Drosophila melanogaster: one gene and its partners. The protein of the gene in region 1 interacts with the protein of each later gene in a pairwise test. Each region holds a gene or a part of one and is shown in the gene's direction. Other genes may lie near its edges. The genes, in order: Cyp1, Epac, CG6576 and CG8204.

What was found.
Region 2: the proteins of Cyp1 (region 1) and Epac interact in a two-hybrid assay, tested with the Drosophila melanogaster proteins (one large-scale study listed by BioGRID).
Region 3: the proteins of Cyp1 (region 1) and CG6576 interact in a two-hybrid assay, tested with the Drosophila melanogaster proteins (one large-scale study listed by BioGRID).
Region 4: the proteins of Cyp1 (region 1) and CG8204 interact in a two-hybrid assay, tested with the Drosophila melanogaster proteins (one large-scale study listed by BioGRID).

The regions. Positions count from the first base shown.
Region 1 is NC_004354.4:16,316,300-16,322,304, reverse strand, and holds Cyp1 (cyclophilin 1), read left to right. Parts: upstream 1-1,934; 5' UTR 1,935-1,968; coding exon 1,969-2,226; intron 2,227-3,697; coding exon 3,698-4,123; 3' UTR 4,124-4,632; downstream 4,633-6,005. Other genes in the region: CG9917 (uncharacterized protein), read left to right, coding at 1-257; SWIP (strumpellin and WASH-interacting protein), read right to left, coding at 4,692-5,135, 5,196-5,401, 5,466-5,892, 5,959-6,005. UniProt on the Drosophila melanogaster protein: PPIases accelerate the folding of proteins. It catalyzes the cis-trans isomerization of proline imidic peptide bonds in oligopeptides.
Region 2 is NT_033778.4:6,795,458-6,801,311, reverse strand, and holds the start of Epac (exchange protein directly activated by cAMP), read left to right. Parts: upstream 1-2,370; 5' UTR 2,371-2,542; intron 2,543-3,899; 5' UTR 3,900-4,371; coding exon 4,372-4,406; intron 4,407-5,854.
Region 3 is NT_037436.4:8,753,365-8,758,082, forward strand, and holds CG6576 (uncharacterized protein), read left to right. Parts: upstream 1-2,624; 5' UTR 2,625-2,818; coding exon 2,819-3,622; 3' UTR 3,623-3,803; downstream 3,804-4,718. Other genes in the region: Fhos (formin homology 2 domain containing), read left to right, coding at 1,111-1,131.
Region 4 is NT_033778.4:15,572,235-15,576,460, reverse strand, and holds CG8204 (uncharacterized protein), read left to right. Parts: upstream 1-2,469; 5' UTR 2,470-2,727; coding exon 2,728-2,795; intron 2,796-2,850; coding exon 2,851-3,011; intron 3,012-3,069; coding exon 3,070-3,272; 3' UTR 3,273-3,317; downstream 3,318-4,226. Other genes in the region: CG30466 (uncharacterized protein), read right to left, coding at 3,535-3,648, 3,704-4,226.

The DNA.
Region 1 (6,005 bases):
AGAAACAGTGCGACGAGATGCTGACTCTGCAGGCGTGTGTGGTCCGTAAACTGGAGCAATGCTCGGACATAACACCGGCGAATCTCGTCGAGTCCATGTTCAACTTCATTCGGAACCAAACGATGTGCCGTGACAATCAGAAATCGCCGCTCGTTGCGGCTGCCGCCAGCGGAGGGAGTCGGGTATTCCATCAAGTGTGGACCCATGTGGGCATCTTTTTGCTAATCCTGCGATTCGCTCTACAAAAGTCTTCTTAGTTCTAAGTCTGGGCGTCCGCTATATATCTCGAATCCGAATCTGTAAAACGCCTTCTCAACGCTTTGACTTTGGCATTCCAAAGCGATTAATCAAAGAGCACGATAATCACTGTTTTTAAGCTTTTGCTTCGCTTATATTAATATGCATGTAGCCGTGGAACAGGTGTCCATAGTTCAACCGCTTTCGGGGATAAGCATGCCAAGGTGCTGCTGCTCCAGGCTAGCCAGCCATATCGTTTTTGTTTGGTGCTTCTAATTTATGTAATTAATTGCCAATTGATGTATGTATGTATGTAGTATTGTAAACAATGCTTATACTTCCTTCTAGTTTTACTTCTGAATCAGAAATTCTTCTGGCCTTTGTCATGCGTTTATCTAATGCTTTATTTCCGTTTAATGAAATGGCGTGGCTTGCGGTTCTGATTCGAGTTGGGTTTGTATTAATCTCTTTCATTTAAATTCACTGAGGGAGGCAAATGGTAATCTCACTATTTCATAGTGGATCGGGTATGGGTTTGGGAAATGAAATGCTATATATGTAAAAACAATGAATGGATATGTTTTGTAAATGAATATACGTATCATTATTGTAATAATAAAGTGATAAATGTAAAAAGAAGGACGAGTTCATTTAAACTGGGAGTTAAAGGTCAATTAGGTGGTGAAAAGTACTCAGAGTAGTTGAGACCGTGCAGCTGCATTCATTACGTTTTCAGAAATGAATCACCAACTAGTTTTCACCTTGAACGCCATTTTCAAATTTCGCGGCAGAAAAACCACAACAAAAGGCGCGAGAAAAAGCGGAAAACAAATTTGAAAACATTGTTCCGATAATTGCTGATTATTTGTGAGCAATCATTTCAAGTAATCGAAAAATAATTTTGAAACAGGCTGTCTTGTTAGGTCAATTATTTTTTATCGTGCCATTTAAACAAAAATTATTTATATTTATTTATTTATTTTCCATCGTTTCTCCAAATTACATTTAAAAGTTTGTAAGACTTAATACTGTAAAACACTATTATTAGTTATTAACTATAGTTTAAAATGGCAAAATAGAAAATGCGACACGCACAATTGAACTATCGAAACGTTAATATTTAAAACAAGTAATTTAAAATAATGAATACATGTATAAAAATAATTAATACATTTGTTTTTAAAAAGCTATAGAAATAGCTGCATATATGCTTTAACAATTTATGCTTAAAAAGTCTTTATAATAATCCTGTGATTTCGCCGTGATTTTTGGGTTTACAATGTGCTGTTTTAGAATAATGGTTATTTCAAAGTGACCACTATTTTTCAATTATCTTAATTTTTTAATAGTCTTGTGTTTATTTCAACTTTAAGTTTTATATTTTAATGGCTCTTTAAAAGCAAAAAAATATTTGATTTTTAGGAGTGATCGCTGATCACGATGCTGTAATTTTTTGTAAGATATTTACTTAACGAAGGCGAATGCGTTGTTTCGATTGGCGGTTTCAAATGAGCGCAAGTAAATGTATTTATTTATTATAAAAATTGTAAAAAGGGCGCATGAACGCGACCATTTATCCGTTTTGATGGGGGAATGGGCAGCACAAAGTGCGTTTATGGGCGCCCTAAAGTGATGTAACAATTGCTGCGACCGCAGCAGCAGCGAAACGCGCGGAATGGAACGCACGGAACGATATCGTAGTATCGTACATGCGGTCGCAAGCCATACACGATGGTCTCTTTTTGTGCAACTCTGATTCGACAGTTTCGGCACAGGTCGGCAGCGGCATTTCAGATTGCGGAGTCCGCCATTTTAGCTAACAAATCTATAACCCTAGCTTCGTCAGCGTGCAGTGTGAATAGGGGTCAGTTGCAGTTTGGAATTCAGATTGTTCGCGAATATTCGAAAGCGTCAAAGATGAGTACTTTGCCTAGGGTGTTTTTTGATATGACCGCCGACAACGAGCCCCTCGGTCGGATCGTCATGGAGGTGAGTTATTTGCCCTTTTTTTTTAATTTTAAACTTAAGTTGAGGTTTTTTTTTTTGTGACATTTGACCAGAAAGTGAAAAACACGTGATTTCCCATAAAGCCATTTCTTACGCCTAAAGCTAAGACTGTGTTTTACATTATTTGCCTCAGGTGATAAGTACATACCGTTTTTTTCTTTTTATTTTTACGGATTTAAAACTTGTACCAAATATACACACAGCGCAAACTCGCCCTCTAATTTATAAGCGACAAGTGCAATTACTTTCCATGACTAATTGCATGACAATGCGCTATGGGTAAATTTTCAATTTTCCAACCCAATTGGACAGGCGCGTTTAATCGGAAAATCTCTATAATTATCTCTACATCGCTGAATTTTGAGCAAACAGGCAAGCAGGAGCACCAACCCCCGCAAATCGGCCATTTGGTGGTATTATCTTTATAGAATGGAATTTTCCTTATTTTAATTGACGTGTCGGCAAACTTTGGCCGAAATGGTGTGCAATTTTTACCGGTATTTTATATGCATCTGTGCATGTGTGCTATATATGTACATTCCGGCGTGGTCTGCGTATGTGTGGCTCATACCCATACACACATGCAGATCAATACACGAACATAACCTCTAAGCGGTCACTCGCGTATGTCTGTATGTTCTTGTCGTGCTTGCATATGTACATGTGTGCATGCGGGTAATGTACGCGCAGATGTACAGTGTACACACAGAGATATTCGGGTGTGAATGCGCGAGTTCTGTAAACCCGTTTGCAAACATGAACTCACTATTAATTCCGCCGATGATGTAATGTACACCTAATTTTTGAATAGAGAAAAAGAATAGGAAACGCGAATGCTTGATGTATATTTTTAGTGGCCTGGGAATAAAGTCATTGCCCGCCAAGTAAACCAAGCCACATGTCTAGGATTTTCCTTCCAATAGGACATACATATGTACATACGCACACTTGAACATACATGCAGTGCGCGAAAAATTCTGCACTTCACGCCGAATTACTACACTAAACAATTGAAGATTTATAGAGAAGCGGCATTAGGAAAAGCATTTACTTGACTAATTTATACAATTGTCTCGATTACTGGGTGAATTGGAAAATTGCTCAAATTCTAGTGCATTTGCAAAGTTCTGTGCATTATATGTATTTTTTCCCTTGGTATAGATATGCACATACATATGAACATGCATATGTATATTATCAAAGGGCTAAAAATGGCGATGAAAAAAAAGCGGCGTCAAAAAACAGCTGATCATGTTTACTGCCGCTCAACATGAATTATACAGAAAATTGTCCAGTCCTCAAAAAAAAAAAGAAATAAATAAGCAAAAAGTAGTGGCAAGGTCATCCGAGTTCGGATAAACAAACCTTGAAGAACTGAAAAAGAGTCATACTTTGTTAGCATTAATTTCTTGTTTACTAACGAAATTTCTACCCTTTTGTTTGTATTTTGCAGCTGCGCTCCGATGTCGTGCCCAAGACCGCCGAGAACTTCCGCGCCTTGTGCACCGGCGAGAAGGGATTCGGGTACAAGGGCTCCATTTTCCACCGCGTCATCCCCAACTTCATGTGCCAGGGCGGCGACTTCACCAACCACAACGGCACTGGCGGCAAGTCCATCTACGGCAACAAGTTCCCCGATGAGAACTTCGAGCTGAAGCACACCGGCTCCGGCATCCTGTCGATGGCCAACGCTGGCGCCAACACGAACGGCTCCCAGTTCTTTATTTGCACTGTGAAGACCGCCTGGTTGGACAACAAGCACGTCGTCTTCGGCGAGGTCGTCGAGGGACTGGATGTGGTCAAGAAGATCGAATCTTATGGATCGCAGTCTGGCAAGACCTCCAAGAAGATCATTGTGGCTAACTCTGGTTCTCTTTAAGAAGGTGCGATGCAAAAGCAACAGCAACATTGCAAGAAGAAAAATCTGTTAAGACGAAAACCATTTGCATTTTCTCCAAAACATTTTTTTTTACCAATTACTGTACTGTAATATTACGAGAAAAATACATAACAAACCAACATATTTTCAATAGACATGTTGGGTTTCCTTTGGCCAATCAATTGTATGTGGGGGCCAAAAGTGAATAGAATTAGTGCCCACCAATGTCAGAAAGCGTTCAATTGGCTATATAATATGCATTAAATCTGTAACTTTAACATTTCCATTCACAAAAAAAAAAACAAAGAAGAAAAACAATGAGACGACAAGAGTCGAGAGGGGCTTAGAAAAATGTTTGATCTTTTGATGTTGGCTTACTTACTACTAATAATAGTATTAGTAATGCTGATTATCTAATTGCATATATATATATATATACCAACGTTCTACGCTATGTACCGGAATCGGAATTGTATTTTCGTCTTAATAAATCTGAATAAACGGCAACCAACTACTCAATTGTTTGTTGTCACTGCTGGGATCTTTGGTTTTGGTAAATGGACATATTTTATTGGAAGAATATTTCGGAGCTACTCAAGGTGGCGTACAATAGATTGTATTCATGCTCGTAGGCGTTCACATGTCGTTCGGTTATCGCCACTGTCTGGTGAAGCTTCTCGTCCAGCTGCTCCGGCGCCGTCCGCTGCTGGCCCGCCAAAATGTCGCGCACCTTGGAGCGCTCCGCGTTCAGGTGCTGCGTGATCGTCTGGCTCCAGCCCAGCTCATGGAACTCCGTCTGCTGGTTCAGCATGTTGAGGATGTAGACCAGGCCGATGGCGAAGCCATCCTCGAACAGCGAGATCTTGGTCTGGTCCTTTTTGTAGATCTTTAGCTTCTGCTTGACCCGGTAGTCAATGTAGTTCATGATGAGCGCCGGTGTGATGAGGTAGAAGGTTCGCAGGTGGTGGTTATGTGGATTGCACAAAAAGGGCTGAAAGCCTTGCAGAAGAAGCTGCAATATAAATCCATGGGTTAAGCTGGTTACCTAACTTGTTAAGATCGTAGACTGCACCTTGAAGTAATTTGTGCTATCGGAATAGCACTCCTTCATGTGACCCAGGCTCTTCTCGTACTCCCTGATGGAACCCTCCGTAGCCTCGTGCACTTTGGAGCCCCCGCAACTGAAGTTGCTGTCGAATCTGGTTTTATACGAGCGATTCCGGAAGTTGGCATTCTTGCTTCCAGCCTGCAGGAGGCGCACATAGCCAACAGCGTTGCCTAAAAGCAATATTTACGTTTATATTTTAAGCATTTTCTTGAATTATGGTCTTTAACCACCTACCGACTTGTGTGATAACCTTCCTGAAAAGATCCATATACGTCTCGCCATTGCTGGAGCAGCCTAGCCTTCTGATCTTCTTAAGAAAACTATCGGCGCGCTCATAGGGATACGACTGATAGGACTTGCTGTGCTTGTGCTCCGTGTGAAAACGCAGCTCCTTGAGCAGCCGCGACTTGATCTGCTCGTCGTGGAGGAAGGTGGAGAAGGTGTAAAACTTTTGGCGCAAAAACTGGTATATAAAGTTGACGGTGGTGTTGATGATACCGGTGCCGTGCGTCTGCACCGAGTTGGCCACGTGCCGGGTGCCAATGATGTCGAGGTGCTTGCTCCTGCTGTTCGTCTCCACGAACACCTGCAGGTTCATGTTGTAGGCATACGAGGAGGCGAAAGTGTGTATATTCCGCATGATCTGCAGCACGTCTATGCCCTTGAAAGTGGGAAAGAATTGTTTGGTTAATAGAAGAGATTGCTTATTGATGATTCAATTGGTTACCTGGTCAATTATCTGATTGGGCAGGTGGTCATCGATGGGTTGCAGCT
Region 2 (5,854 bases), on another chromosome or scaffold:
TGAAGGGAGCCCAGGAACACAGGGCAGCTTTAATAGGCAATTTGCGTTAAACGCTGATTGAATAACCATTAATGCAACTAAAGAGCCAGTGTGCCACACATGCGATAATAATGACATCAGCAGGTGGGTGGGTAAGTGCAATCAGGTCGTAAACACGTTCCGACGGCACCAGTGACTGACTTTTGAAGCGACTGGCTGAGGATGGTGAGCCAAAGTCCTGGACAAGGACTTCGACAACAACGACTAGCTGACGACGAGTCGATCAATGTACAACAGCATTTTCTGCTAATGGGCCACAGGCAGGGTGGCAGGAAGCGCCATTAGACCAGGTGCCACATGCGTTGATGATGAAAAGAAAATGCATTAGGACCGGCCATGATGAGCCCGCACTTGGCCATGAAGGCCTTCAAAGCCAGCCGTGCCCACCAGCCGAGTTTATTAAGATCGCATTTATCATAATTACCGCCGGGTCGTTGTGTTGTGTCTGGTGGAGCAGGATTCAACGCCATGTGATGACATATTCAGCAGGCAAAGCGGCCGTTAAATTCTTGGAATTTCATTCCGCATTGGCAAGCCCGAAAAAATGTCTATGGTGGTCCTGTCAACATGGGGGAGGCTCATAAAAAATGCGACAGGCAGACCCCATGAAAAACCAAAAAAAAAAAAAAACCCTGCAACACAGGGAAAGTAGTCTTCCACTTTTATTACGTCAGTTCTATTTAGTGCTATACCGTTATTGTTAATTATGTCTAATTATATTAGTAGAAGTAATTCATCTTTGCACTTATCCTATGCTACACCCGTTTGTGTATAATGAAATACCTATCTAGGAATACCAGACTACGATCCACCTTAACTATTTTTCTTTCTGTGCATTAACAGCTGGGGGAAAAAGCCAAGAATTTATATGCGCTGGGGCAGCCTGTGGAGCTGGAACCGAAACTGGGAATGATTCATGCGGAAATAAAGGCACTCGAGAGTGCCGTAAATATTGTGGTGGCGACCACAACAACAGCGGCTCTGGGAAAGGTGGAAAACAAAAGGAAAGCTTTGCATTTTCGCACCTTTTCAGGAGCGAACACGACTGAATCGCCGTTGATTCATTAGCTGAATGTGACAAGCCGTCAGTGAATGTCCAAGTGTCCAAGTGACCAAAAGTCCGGGTGTTCACGCACTCGCTCCGTAAATTCTGTCCGTTGTTTCGTGTCCGCTGCTGGTGTGCATTATTTAATTGACATGTTGATTGTTTCGCATTGCGATTCCATTTTATGTGCACTTTCAGGCGAGGGTGTGAGGCAGTTCCGCCCGGGGCGCGGTGCGGGGTTGTCCGCTGTTCGCCCGACGGCCGAGCGGACGGACAAGTGCCTGTTGAAGAGCTGGTCAACTGCGACGACTCACCAAAATAACGCTCAACAGTTTGTTGTGGAGCACGTAGAATAGGAGAGCGAGCAGCAAATGTTGCTAAACATTCGAGTGAATAGAGTCAAAACAAATTGTTATTTCAAGTAGACTAGGCAAGCAATATTATTCGTAATACAACATATCAGATTCGATTAACTTTTCATCTTTAAAGCCCAATACACAATCTATATTTTTTTTTTTTTTATATTTATTTATTTAGAAGCGATGAATCCATACAATGCAGTAACAGTAACATAACAGCGCAATTAACATATAAAAGATAAAACCAAACCTCTCACTAATCATGTGAGGACTTAAGACAATCTATACTAATAAGCAATAAGCAAGTAAGTAAAACAAATAAATCAAACAAGAACATAAATTTATATGTTAAATGCTATATCATTATAGCCATCTTTATACAAATTGTATCTCTTTGCTGATTATCGTATATAAGTGTAGGCAGTAAATGAATAAGAATAATATTTAAATTAAATTAATATTAAGTTTAAAATCGTAAAAGAATAGTAGAAATCCATTCATATCACAAAATAATGGGATTCAAATTATAATAAATATTATAACAAAAGTAGTATAATTTCAAACACTATAAGCAAAGAAACTGTATTTAATTAGAACTACTTTGAAATTACGTTTTTTCGTGTGCCAAATTTTATTTGGATTTTGACCACACCGATTTGGATGTAAGCCCACTGTGCCGAAGATTTGTCAAACTTGTTGCTAAAAAACGCGCCAAAATATGTGAGTGACGGAAAGGGACGGCGGGAAGGCGGAACAAGGCCAAAAGTACCGCACCGCAGCCGTCAACACTGCAGTCATCGGCAATGAGTAACTTCCAACAACCCACCACGACCCCCAATCTCCGCCGGGAAACCCACCTGCGAGGCGCAGGACAGGAGCGTGGTGAAGAGCGCCGCTCGGAAGTCGGAAAATGGAAGGCGGCCGAGCAGTTGCGACGCGACTACCAAATGAATCGGACGCGATAGCGCTTCAGCGGAGGTCGAGAACTGAAATGTTTGCCCAAGAACTGTATATACCAAGTGCTTGAAAGCCGTTAGCAAGTGGTTCATTTAAATATTCGTTTGAAGTCGGTTCGATTTCAGGTATTCGCTGGATTTCGGTATGTCGCGTGGGTTCGAAACTAAAAGTTCATTTTCCGTGCCAAAAAGTGTTTGCCAACAAGAAGGACTTTAAAATATCGAATTCTGCTGCGGGATCTCTGTTACTCTTGCATCTTCTGATCCTTTTCTCCGTTCAGAGGATGCGTGAGTATTCGATTCATGATGTTTCTTCGCCACATGACCAAGCTAAATGGCTAAGTTTTCCGTTTGGCAACGGCTGCAGTGGGCAGTTAAATCACATCTATTGTGGTTCAAAGTTTTGCTTTCACTCGGTTGCTTAATTAAAACAAAGTTTGAAACCCTAAAGTGGAAATTACATGGAACATCTGTTTCCAGGGCGATTTCAAAGCTTGTTCAATTCAATTCCCTAACCGCCACTCCGGACACTAATTGCATTTGCTGGCAGGATGGACAACTCGTTCGAAAGTGGCCGCTTATCGAGTCGTCCACTCGGAATATCGCCAATATCAGTCTTATCGCCCCCGGGACTTTTGTCGCCATTTATGTACGTGGAGCCAGCCAGCGAGCGAACGACACGTCAGAAAACGTGGCATACATTCGGGCGCCTTCGCGGGCTGGCCACGATGGCGAATACTTAATTATTCATATGCGAGCTGATGGTCCTTCGCGATGTCTTTCCTTTTGAGCCGTCACTCGAACACTTGTTCCGCCTGCAGTTCCATTTCGCTGACGAAAGCCACTGCACTTCTGATGGGGTGGTATAAATTATGTTTTTTCCCATTGACGCAGAACAAAATACGCATTCGTTTGCGGTACAGATACAGATAGTGCAGCGCATGGGTAAACATGGAGTTCGGTAACGAATTCGCGGTTAGATCGTGCCTTCGCATGCCATACGATCTGGATTTGGGCATACTGGGAAATTAGAATGCCCATTGACAGCGCATTAAGTATACGCCGTGTGTGTGGAGTAATCTATTGTTATCTGGAAATCTATTGTTAGATTTGTGCGCCAACAGTTTGTTGGTGCTCCGCCCTCACCGCTCTCCTGCACCACAACACCCCCTCGCCGGCCGAGCAGGCATCAAAGCTTATTCATAACATTTGCTTTTGTTGGCGACACAGATACCCACAAGCACACACAAGCACACACACACTGACGCAGTGGGGCCTTCTGGGCAGCTATCAGCAGTTGGGAAAACCCTTTTTGGCAAGTCCAACAATAGCAATTCACATTAGTTATGTGGCTGAAAAAATCGGAAAGAGGGAAACTTTTACATCTGCTGCTGGCATTTTATATAAATTATATTAGAGTCCGACATCCCAAGGCTAGCTTACACTTACGACTGCTGTATAGTGAATTTAGACTCACATTCGCCCAATTTAACTTTGCAGCTGCTCGGTATCGAAATCCTCGTCGCCAGCCAAACGGGAGCTCAAACTGAAATCCATTTCCAAACTTTCGCCTAATCAACGAGCTACGTCCACTTACCCCTGGCTCCAACTCGAAAGGAGCTCGCTCCAACGCTCCCAAAAGCGGATTTCGAGTGCCTCGCTGGGCCGAGCCACCTGGCATGTCGTATTCAAAGGGAATCGCAGATTGACGGCCACATCGCGGATTGAGGTGACTGCAAACTGGGTGCGAGCGCCGCCATTACTCGGTATTTTGATTTCGCTTTCCTGGGCCGCAACGGGCAATTAATTTGCACCACTTTGGAGCCGCTCCGCCTCGATTTATGTGCTCTGCTCAAAGTTGGGGCAACTATTTGGTTTGGTGTTTGTGGAATGTGCTGTTCATAACTTGTATCATAACTTGTGTCAAACGGCGAAACTAATCGAGCGAGGGAGATTTAAATAAAAATTCAACATGGCGATGGAATGGATAACTGCAATGGACAAACGGTAAGTGATTTTTTAATGAGCTGCACAATTAATGAGCAGCGATTTTGGGGAACTTTTCTTTAAATTCTAAGTTTTTAGCTCCAAAAGTTTCCTTAGCTGAAACGGAATGCTTTCTCTTAAATTTAAGGCATTTCCCAGCTGAGTGCACAAGTTTCTTTCCTCTGTTTTCCCGGAGCAGACACGTACTCACACATCGACGTACGTGTAAGTTGAATGAAAAGCTCGACGTGGAGTACAAACAAAACGAGAACGAGAAGCGAAACATTTTAAAATGTTGCCGTCATGCTCGACATTCATTTGTCAAGAACCAACATCGGGGTGCCCCATCCTCCTCCATCCTTGATGGCTGGCAAATGGCCAATCCATCCACTTTGTGGACACGGCCTGCCACGAATTATCCGCTTTATTAAATCTCGATATCAATTCTCCGTAACTCAATGAGCCGCCTTCTGCACAGCAATTATTTCATCATTCCTGATTTGGACACCGAACAAAGGAAAATAAAAACAGGACTTTAATCATGACATTCATATCTTTCTTGTGAATTGAAATGCAAAATAAATGTAATTGTAGTTCGCTATAAATAAACCAACCCATTTAATGATACTACTCTTAAAATACAATTTATATTATGATAAAGCATTAAAGTAATTTACCATTCATTTCATGAGCTATGCCTGAAAAGTGTTTTCTGTCGTGCAAAAATAATAATTAAACCGCTGTAAAAGTATAAAAATACTATAATTTAATTGAAAATATATATATTTCTGCTGAAAGCTCCGCATTTCAGAGGTTTTAATGCACATACATTTTTTACGTAAATATGTGCTTTGCAATTGGATGGAGTTTAGTCTTGTGCAAACATTATTTTAGTGGAATAAAACAGAGGCACGGGACTATTGTTTTTTTTTTTTAGTTGATGTCAGACTTTATACTTTCCATTTAAGAGAGCGGTTTCATTTTATCTGGACACCACAGTATTTATCTTTTCACAGCCAACATAATAACATTACCCTTATCTAAATTAATGAAAAAGCTCATATGTGAGATGGAGTATCTCTCCTGATGACATGCTATTTCTAAAGCATTTACTATTGCAACAGTCAACAGAATAGTCAGCATTCTAAAGCATTTACTATTGCATCAATCAACAGAATAGTCAGCATTTAGCGTGTAAAATATTTATATACAATTACGGAATAACCAAATTTATTTTAGTGTGTGCGCAGTACTTAAGCTTAAGTTGAACTTGATTCGAGCTAATCAAACATTGACCAGAGATCAAAATTGTTTTTCAAAGTGTCTAAATCGATTTGCCCAACCGTAAATGGCCGGGAATCGAGCACACATTCTTCCCAGCAACCACTTGATGCAATTTGTTGGATTTCAGCTGGGGCATCGCTGGACGAGTGCCACCATTACCATTACCATTATTAGCCCCGCCTGTC
Region 3 (4,718 bases), on another chromosome or scaffold:
TCATTCAGGGTATGTTTAAAACATTTATTTGTTTCTCGATTGCAATTTACGAATGCGATCGCCGACTGAGGAGAGCCGGCAGAATCTCCGAGAGCTTCATCTCCGATCGAATCTCTCGCTTGCCGAAAATACACGCATACTCAAAGCGAGAGCGCCGGAGATTTTCCTCCACTCAGCTTTTCACGCAATTCGGTGCGAGGGAAAATCTCGGCACAAAAATATTTTCACTGCGGCCAGACAGTTTTCCTTTGACAACGCGCCGAGTCGCACATGATTTTCCTCTCGGCCGGATTCGCTGTGGTCCAACAAAAAGAACCGAGAACTAAAAACAAAAATCGCGACACAATCTTTCAGCGAGTGTGTGAATGTTGCTAAATTTATAAATAACAGCTTAAGTTGTGCTGCTCCCAAAGTAAATTGAAATAAAAGCAAAAGTGATACGCGTCCGTCGTCGTGAAACGGAAAACGCAGGCGATGGAAAATGGGAAAATAGGAAAAAATAAGAAAAATAAGAAAAATATCAACGCATAAATAAAGCGCGAGCCTCGCGTCCGATTCTGTCGCATTCGCCGGCTGCATTCCCAAATAGATCGGGGCGCTATAGTCTATATCTGCTCGTATGCCCTATAGGCATCGACAGTATATATCCCAAACCTGCCCGGTGCGTGCCGGTGGATTATGTAAAGTGACACACGGCCGATCCCGATACCGATCTCGGAGTATCGCCCAGCGCAAATAAAAGCAAAGGAAATAATAGTTTACTTAGCAGAAAAGAAATAAATACAATAAAATAAAATTGAATAAAATAGGGGAATGCAGAGAGAGTGTCGTAGAAATTTGTCGCACGCGCGCGATTTCAGTAAGTGCATCTAATTTATTTTGCATCTATTGCAATTGAGAGTCGGCATCCGGCAGATACGTTTTCGTAATTGTCGTCAGCGGTTCGAGTTCCTCCGTTTCGATCTCGCGCGAGTGTTTGCCAGATTGGATTACCAAACCCAGGCCATACCAAAATAAATTATACACCAATTTTGAAAGGGCGATAAACATACATTGTGACCGAATTTTGATCCGATCTGCGATCGAGGATCGCTTGCCAAGAGCAACGTAATGTCGTCCTACCGCAGTTATGTAAGTACTAGTTAATGCAGCGCCAACTATCCGTATCTGTATCTGCATAATACCTACTCGTACTATATAGTGTGTATCTCGATCTTTGTATCTTCGCTCTGTGCCTTTTTGCAATTCTTCGCATCCACGGATTTTGTTTATTTCTAATTTGTTGCCTTACCCCACACACAAGAGTATTTCGCAGATACATACGTATACGTTTTATATGGCAGATAAAATGTATCTGAATGTTCGCTCTCGATGTGGTGTGGGCTCCAGATCCATTGATAAACAATTTAGATACAAATTTGCTCATTGTCTGGTTTTTTGGTTGGGATTTGTGTCTAGTTGATTGTTCTAATTTCCTATCCACACAAATAGCACAAATTATGGCCGAGGTGTGGCTACTGAATGAACGAATTGTTGTGTTTGAATAGCAAACCAATGCATGAATAAATGGCTTTTACTTTGGCAAAGCAGGTTAAGTTCCGAATTTTAAACCTATTTAACTTGATTTATGTTAGTATTTGCGTATATGCACAGTTGTCAAAGGAATTAATTTTGAGTTATTTGACATACTTTATGGCAGATTCATTATTGATACTGACCAATGACTGACAGTTCCCAAGTAAACATTTTGTGTTATTTATTGAACTTATCATCATATTTATTTATATTATTAACCCGTTCGACATCATGTGATACTTGTGAACTTTTATATAAAAAGTGCATTATTTCTATATCTATCCTATAATATAAATACACTTAATTTCGGTTGTCATTCCCAAACTTCCAAATCGCTTTCTACTAATCCCCTTTATGTTCAACTCATTATATCCTTTTGTTCCCAGGCATCCAGTTTATGACTTTAGCCTGACTTTTGACTCATTGAGCATAAATCAATTAAATATTTTTCGGGTCTTAGAATCTAATAAACTGATCAATTTATGGGCGGCAAACAACAAGTTTCCACCCCATCCCACGCACATCTACCACTTCATCTTCTCCCGAGTCATTTCTCCAATTATATATAGAATGTTTCTAAAAATGTTGGGAGTAAAGCAAAATGATTTCTGTTTCGTTCACGTTGACGCAGTCTCTTTTTTCCTCATTGGAGTTGGTACTTTGTGTAGGATTTTTATGGCCAGAAGGAAGTTGTAAATATTTATGACAAGCATAAAGTTGAAAGTTCTCCGGTGAGAGCACGCACCACCTAATTAATTAACAAAGTGTGAATACTCATGCAATTTGTTTGTGAGGGGAGAAAGTAGGGGAACGGTAATGGAGAAACAATAAAGTTGCAAATATAACTAAAGCTTTTAACTTCATATTCAAAAAAAATAAGTATATATTATCATATAACTAAATTTATATTCATAATGTATTAGCGAAAGCGGTAATGATTAAACATTGTTTCGATTATTGATTTCATTAGAAATATCTCTACTCGTCACACACAATGCGATCACAATCAGTTTTCATTTGAATTATTCATCAAAACAGATCAAAATTTGTTGTAGTGTAGCACAAAGGAAGGCGGTGATAGGCGCTTCTCAAATAGGCTTCGAGATAAGGATTTATGAATCAAGCTATCTGAGTCCGAGATTATCCACGCACACTCACCCGTCCACCCAACTGCCACCCAAGCCCCCCACAACACTCGAACACAGACACAAGTCAAGGACATTTTTTGATAAAAAGATAAAAAATGACACGGCGTCGACGTCCACGATGTAAGGTGAATCCCTCGATAGCGCTGAGAAAGAAGAAACAGGAGACTGCACCCAGTGCAGAAAAGGTAGAGCCACAACGTCCACCGCCCTTGCCGGATCCGCCCAGCGAAGAGCCACCGGAAGTCGTCAGCACTTCGAGCGTAGAATCTGAAATCGAATCGGATTACAAACTCTTCCCGGAACTCTACGATCGCCAGCCGTCGATGCCCACGTTTGCTGATCTTTTTGGTCAGCCCTCTTATGAATCAGTGTTGCAGGAGCCCGAGGTGGCATCTACCTCCTCCTCAACGAACACAAATGCCGCGGGAATACGTAGTACAGACGATGGGAAATTCACTAATATTCCGGCCACGATGCTGTCAGATCAATTTGGGATCATTGGGCTGCTGGCCGCCATGAGGACTACGCAAACGGATCCGGGCGCCACGCAGCTGGTCTTTGGTGAGGATCTAACCACCTACGGACTAGATTTGGCTGCCCAGGGAGACATTTATGTGCATTTCAATGGGCCTCTAACCCGCGAACCACCTGACAGAAATTCCATGGACTGCGCCCTTGAGATGGGAATGCGTGCCATGCGTGATTCGATTATCAATGAACCACCGAAGGCTCCGTGTTGGGATCCATTTGAGCCAGAGACCCAAGATCTGGGACTTGTGGGCAGTCTTGAACCGGATGAGTTTACGAAATCCGATCCAGATACGGAAACGGATCCACCGCCAACTACTGATTTGACTGAAGATCCGGAAACGGATCGAGATGATAATCAGTATAGATAACACATTTGGAATCGGCGCCAAGGATAAAAAAGAAAGACTAGTCCCAAATAGAATAGCAATTTGGCAGTTGGTTAGATCTTTGAATACTTGGTAAAATTGTTGATCTTCGTGAATTGGTAGCCCTTCTGTATAAGAACTTGTTTGGCTTTAAATATAGAATTGGCTGAGGAGTAAAAACGGGAATAATTATTTGTTACGAAAAAAAGTGCGATTTAGTTATTTAAAATAAGGTTCGATTTAGTACATATATGTAAATATCGAAAAAAATTAATAAACATTCGGAAAATATCGAAAATGAATAAGCTCGGAATTGATTATAACTCATAAATTGGTTATAATCACTATAATTTTCAGATTAACTAATTTAATTTGTTTGGAAATTTATGTTTGAACGACTTTCTGGGGTTGAATATTTCATTATCCTTTTAAGCGCCGATCTCCACATAGTTGAGTTTCCCGAAACGCATTTTCGACACTTTCGTCAGAGCAAACTACAATAGAAAACGTATTTAAAAATAAATCATTTGTCTGGCAAGCGAATATTCAGTCGCCACTTCGAATCATCTGGGGTCACAGTCTAAATACTTTGTGAGTGGATGGCTTTCCTGGTCGTTCTTAATGGGCTGTGGCTACTGACAGACAGGCGCATTATAGCGCATCCTGCTCCTGATCTGCAGACTCCGAGATTCTGCAATCTCCTAATTGAGACCGCATAATAATGCTGTCAGAAGTGCAGCACTCCGCTGGAATCGGCGGTGAACAAAGTACACATGGCGAAGTCATTCCAGAGAAGATCCATAGGCCCATCCACATCCACACCATCACGATCCTCCACTCTTTTTCTCCTCCGGCTGAGTGTCTCCGTTTGCTTGTTTTGCACATTGTTGGCTATTTGTGTGTTTGGCATTCCATTTCACTGAGCGAAAACAATTAGCCGAGACTGTCTGTCTTTCTTTCTTCCTCACTCCCTCTCGCTCGCTCGCCAATTCTTCACATTGGGCGGGCGCCTGGAAATGTAATAATATTATTTTTTATTCCCGGATAGTTGTCATTCGCCGGGATGGGAGCCACTTGGGAAGAGCCCCCTATTTGAAGT
Region 4 (4,226 bases), on another chromosome or scaffold:
TCATATAGTCCTCGCAGCCCTTCCATTCCATCCCTCCGTGCATCGTGGTCTCCTGCTGATAGTTAATGTTCCCCGGCATCCGTTCGGCATTTCGAATTATTTTCGAATCCATTTGATGACCCACTAGTCCACTATCTCCAATACTCCGGTGAATTCCAATCGAATATGCTTGCAGATGTCGCGTTTGCATGCCTGCTATCACCCAATATGAATCCAACTACCTGGAAGGACTACAGGCGATCATCGCTATACGGAAAATAACCATTATTAAAGATTAAGAATCTATGGGACATACAATCTCCACTTGACATGTTGCATAATAGATATATTTATAGGGATTTAAACCTTTGCTGTGCAACACTTTGTGGTTAGTATGATAAAAAACTGCCTCCACAAGAACCAAACCTTTTTGAAAAAAGTACATTCGCGCTAAGGAAGTTCGACTGCCAAAGCCATATGTGTTGCATGTAATTTAATATTCATTATATGCACTATAAACGCTGTGCCACTACGATTGCATGATCTGTCAATCTGCCCAATTGCCAGGACTATCTGCCCCCTTATTTTTCCACCTTCCAGTGTTTTCCTCGTTTGGCTTTTCGGGCGATAAAAACGAAGCGAAAAGTGCCGCTATCTATTAATATCGCTTTTGGCTTTTTCGCTGGCGGCTAGCTGGTAACTGGTAGTTGGTAGTTGGTAGTTGGTATTTGGTAACTGGGAAAAGCTGGGAATGAAAAACGCTGAAAACTCCTAACGAACGACACCTGCCCTCGGAAAATGCCACTACTGCACCCCGCGAGAAACTTTCGCCCCATTTGGTGGCGTGTGTCTCGCTTTTCTTCTTGCTGTTTGCATTGGTCGCCCCTTTTCCTTTTGGCGATACACTGCTGCTGATGTTGCACGAATGTTGTAAATCAAAAGTAGGCGAGTCACACGAAGGGTCTTCCTGCCCCCCCGAAATCCCTGCCACCGCCGATAGCCGCTGCTTGCCAGCGCCTCTGCTGCTGCGCCTATTTGACTGGCAGGCCGAGCGGATAACGCTGGCAATTATCGCGCTTGTGCCTCACGAACAGCGGAAGCGGCAGAGGCGCCACATCATGTTACCCGGCCCGATTCCCCAGACCTTCCACATCCCCAAACTCTTTGTTAGCCTGCATCCTTTGCTTTCTTTTGTACCACTCGTTTTTCTTTGTGCAATCCAATTGGTAGCGCTCAGAAAACAAAGCAAAAACGATTGAAAATAACAACAACCAGTCCCGGCTACAAGTCCCCCAAAATATGGCAACAGAAACAAGAAGAAAAAAAACGATTCATATACGAGTATAGCCATGCACCTAGACCACCCCATCCGGTCAGTCAGTCAGTCATTGAAGTCATTTATTGCCACCAAAAGTTTTTCGCTGTTTGCCATACCCTCGCAGAGGTTATTACGGCTCAGACTAGGAGCAGGACACGAAGGATCTCAATGGGTGTAGTTATCGTATACAGGACTGTAAGAAGTTATAACCCAATGACATTACCTATAGGACTATCATTATTATCAAATCTTAATGACACACATCTATATGTGTATATTTCATAGCTGAATATGGCCATATAAATGAGATGTTTCTCTTGCAACTAAACCTACTTTTTAGGACTATATATTGTGCATACACATAACACGTTTTCATTAGAAAGAAAGCTTAATAACAAAGGGCATTCCATGCTTCGGTTAACCAATCGAGCCTCACTGTTGTACTTATTTTTACTTCTGGTTGTACTGTACTTGTCTTTGGAGCTGGAGCGGATCTGAACGACTCCTTCCCGGGAAGGACCGTTCCGTTTCAGTACGTTCCGTGTGCAGGATATGTTTACAATTTGCGGACACGCCGACCGTCATTTGATTGCTCCCCTCGCGCTTGTCGAATTCTCGGTTAATTCGCCAGGTGGCTTCAGACTGCGCATTGCCATCGGCGGCGGGGGGAAAGGATTGGGAGGCTTTGGGGCGGAAAAATGGGAGGGCAATGATAAGCGTTCCTCGTTTGTTTGCTCGGAAGCCTCACGGAAGATGACGTGCCCGGGATGGCCCATAAATGAGACTGGCCAAAGCAAACAGACCGGATACACAGGATACATTCAATCAAATAAGGCTATTCGTAACCGGAAAAGGGCAGGACGACTCTATGTCTTCCTCAATCTGACCAAACACTCCGCTAATCGTATGGTTAATAACTAAAATACCTGTGGATAATCTTTAAACGTTTTCAATATGTAAGTCAGTGAGATACAGATACAGTAGATTGAAGCTTTCTGACTATATAAAGTATTTACTTATTTATGATGAGCAAAATTGAATGTTGATGATGAACATTTTATTTGTTCCAGCAAATTGTTCAAATTCAAATTAAAAGTAATGGCGCCAAAGATAGAATTCATCTGTTGACGAAGGCTGGCAGCTACAGAACAATCTAACTAAGCTATGGGATTCGTTTCAACACACTCGTCGTAGAACTCCACTAGTTTTGTTTTCTCACTAAATTAACATGCAGCCCCGCGATCTTATGCGCATTTTAATATTATTCTGCTTGCGTTTTGCATTTAACTTTTTGATTGTTTACCTCCAAAAACATAACGCCGTTCCAGTGGAGCAGAAACGGCTTGGAACCCTCGATAGAGGCAAAAGCTGGAGGCTATAAAACTCGCACAGCTGAGTTTTATTTTGCACGCGACATTGAATTTGATGAGATGGAAAAATGCATTATTTGCGTAGATAACTTGAGAAAATACAAGTGCAGCAAATGCTCGGCACCCTAGTAAGTAGCTATTCGAACAGTTCACTACGGAGATAATAAATGTCGCAAAATGTAGCTGCTCTGTGGCTTGTTATAAGACACACAGGGATTCGCCCCAATGTGCGACAAGGGAGTCCGACTTGAAAAAGACTGAAGTTGGCTACCAGGAGGAACCTACGCTTCATGTGCCCTTCCCCACCGACGACACAGTTGCCGCGGAGAAGCTCCAGCAACTAGGTAGGTGTTTAAATTCGCAATTATACACATTTCTCATAGTATGATGGTTTCCGTACAGAAAACTGCCAGGAACTGCGTAATTTGCTCCACAATCCACACCTGCGTTCGCTGCTCCAGCAGATTGATGTGGCCATCAATGCCCAGTCGGCCATGATGGCCGCCATGCAGGAGCCACTCTTCGTGGAGTTCGCTAATGCCTGCCTTCAAGTCGTCGAACCGATGACGGATGCTGAGCGCACTGAATTTGAGTTGTACTCCTGAATTAAGTTGACACACAGTCTCAATAAAACTAAGCCTTTATTTTGTAACTAATAGTACTGTCAATCCTTGGCAGCTTCTAGAGGAGCTTGCATTGAAGAACTCCTGGAAACTTCTCATTGAAATCCGCCGGTAAGGTTGAATCTTTTCCATAACCAGGGAAAACGTACAACTAATTATTTGGCTCGGCCATTTAAAGTTATCTATCTCAGCTGGCATATCAAACTAGTCATCAGTCTACAGCTTCGTTCCTTGGCAATCAAACTCAATCAAAGTAAATTGAAACTGGATCCGAGTTAAAAGTGATTTTTGGATGCTTCATGTGCAACTTGAAAAGCCTATGTTCCCCTTGCACTTTCCAGGTCATGGGGATGGGATCCTGTAATGAAAAATATTAGAAACGAAAGCTAATATAAGTTGTGAAATACTTAGACCTCATTAGACATGAGATACGTGTTTAGTTCCACATAAATATTAAGTGCTGTGGTACGGTTTTCTCCCAGTTTCTTCGCATCGAATGTGAACTCCTTAAATCCGAAGGTGCAATGGTATATACCCAGGACCTCGTGTGTGTTTAGGTTTTGTATTAAGGTATGAAACTTAATTTCGTCCACACAAACCGAATTTTGTATATAAAATTCATTGACATTAATGTGAAGATGCTGATACGCATGCATACCAAAATTAGCCACCTTTAGGGTCTTAATAGCCACATTTAAACCGTAAGTTTCACAAAATATGGATGTATTTTGGCTTATCTCGATCATATTTATAGTGCTTCTCTTCGCAGCTATGAGAATCTCTCTCAGAAATCCGTATCTAACGTGACCACAAAGAAATAGCTTCTTCAAGTGAGTTAGACGTTCCAGTTTCGATAGGAACCACACCATCATTTCCTCCTGGAAGCACTGCAGCTGCTCTAGGTTTCTAATCCCTTTCCAGGGCAGTTCTGTGTTC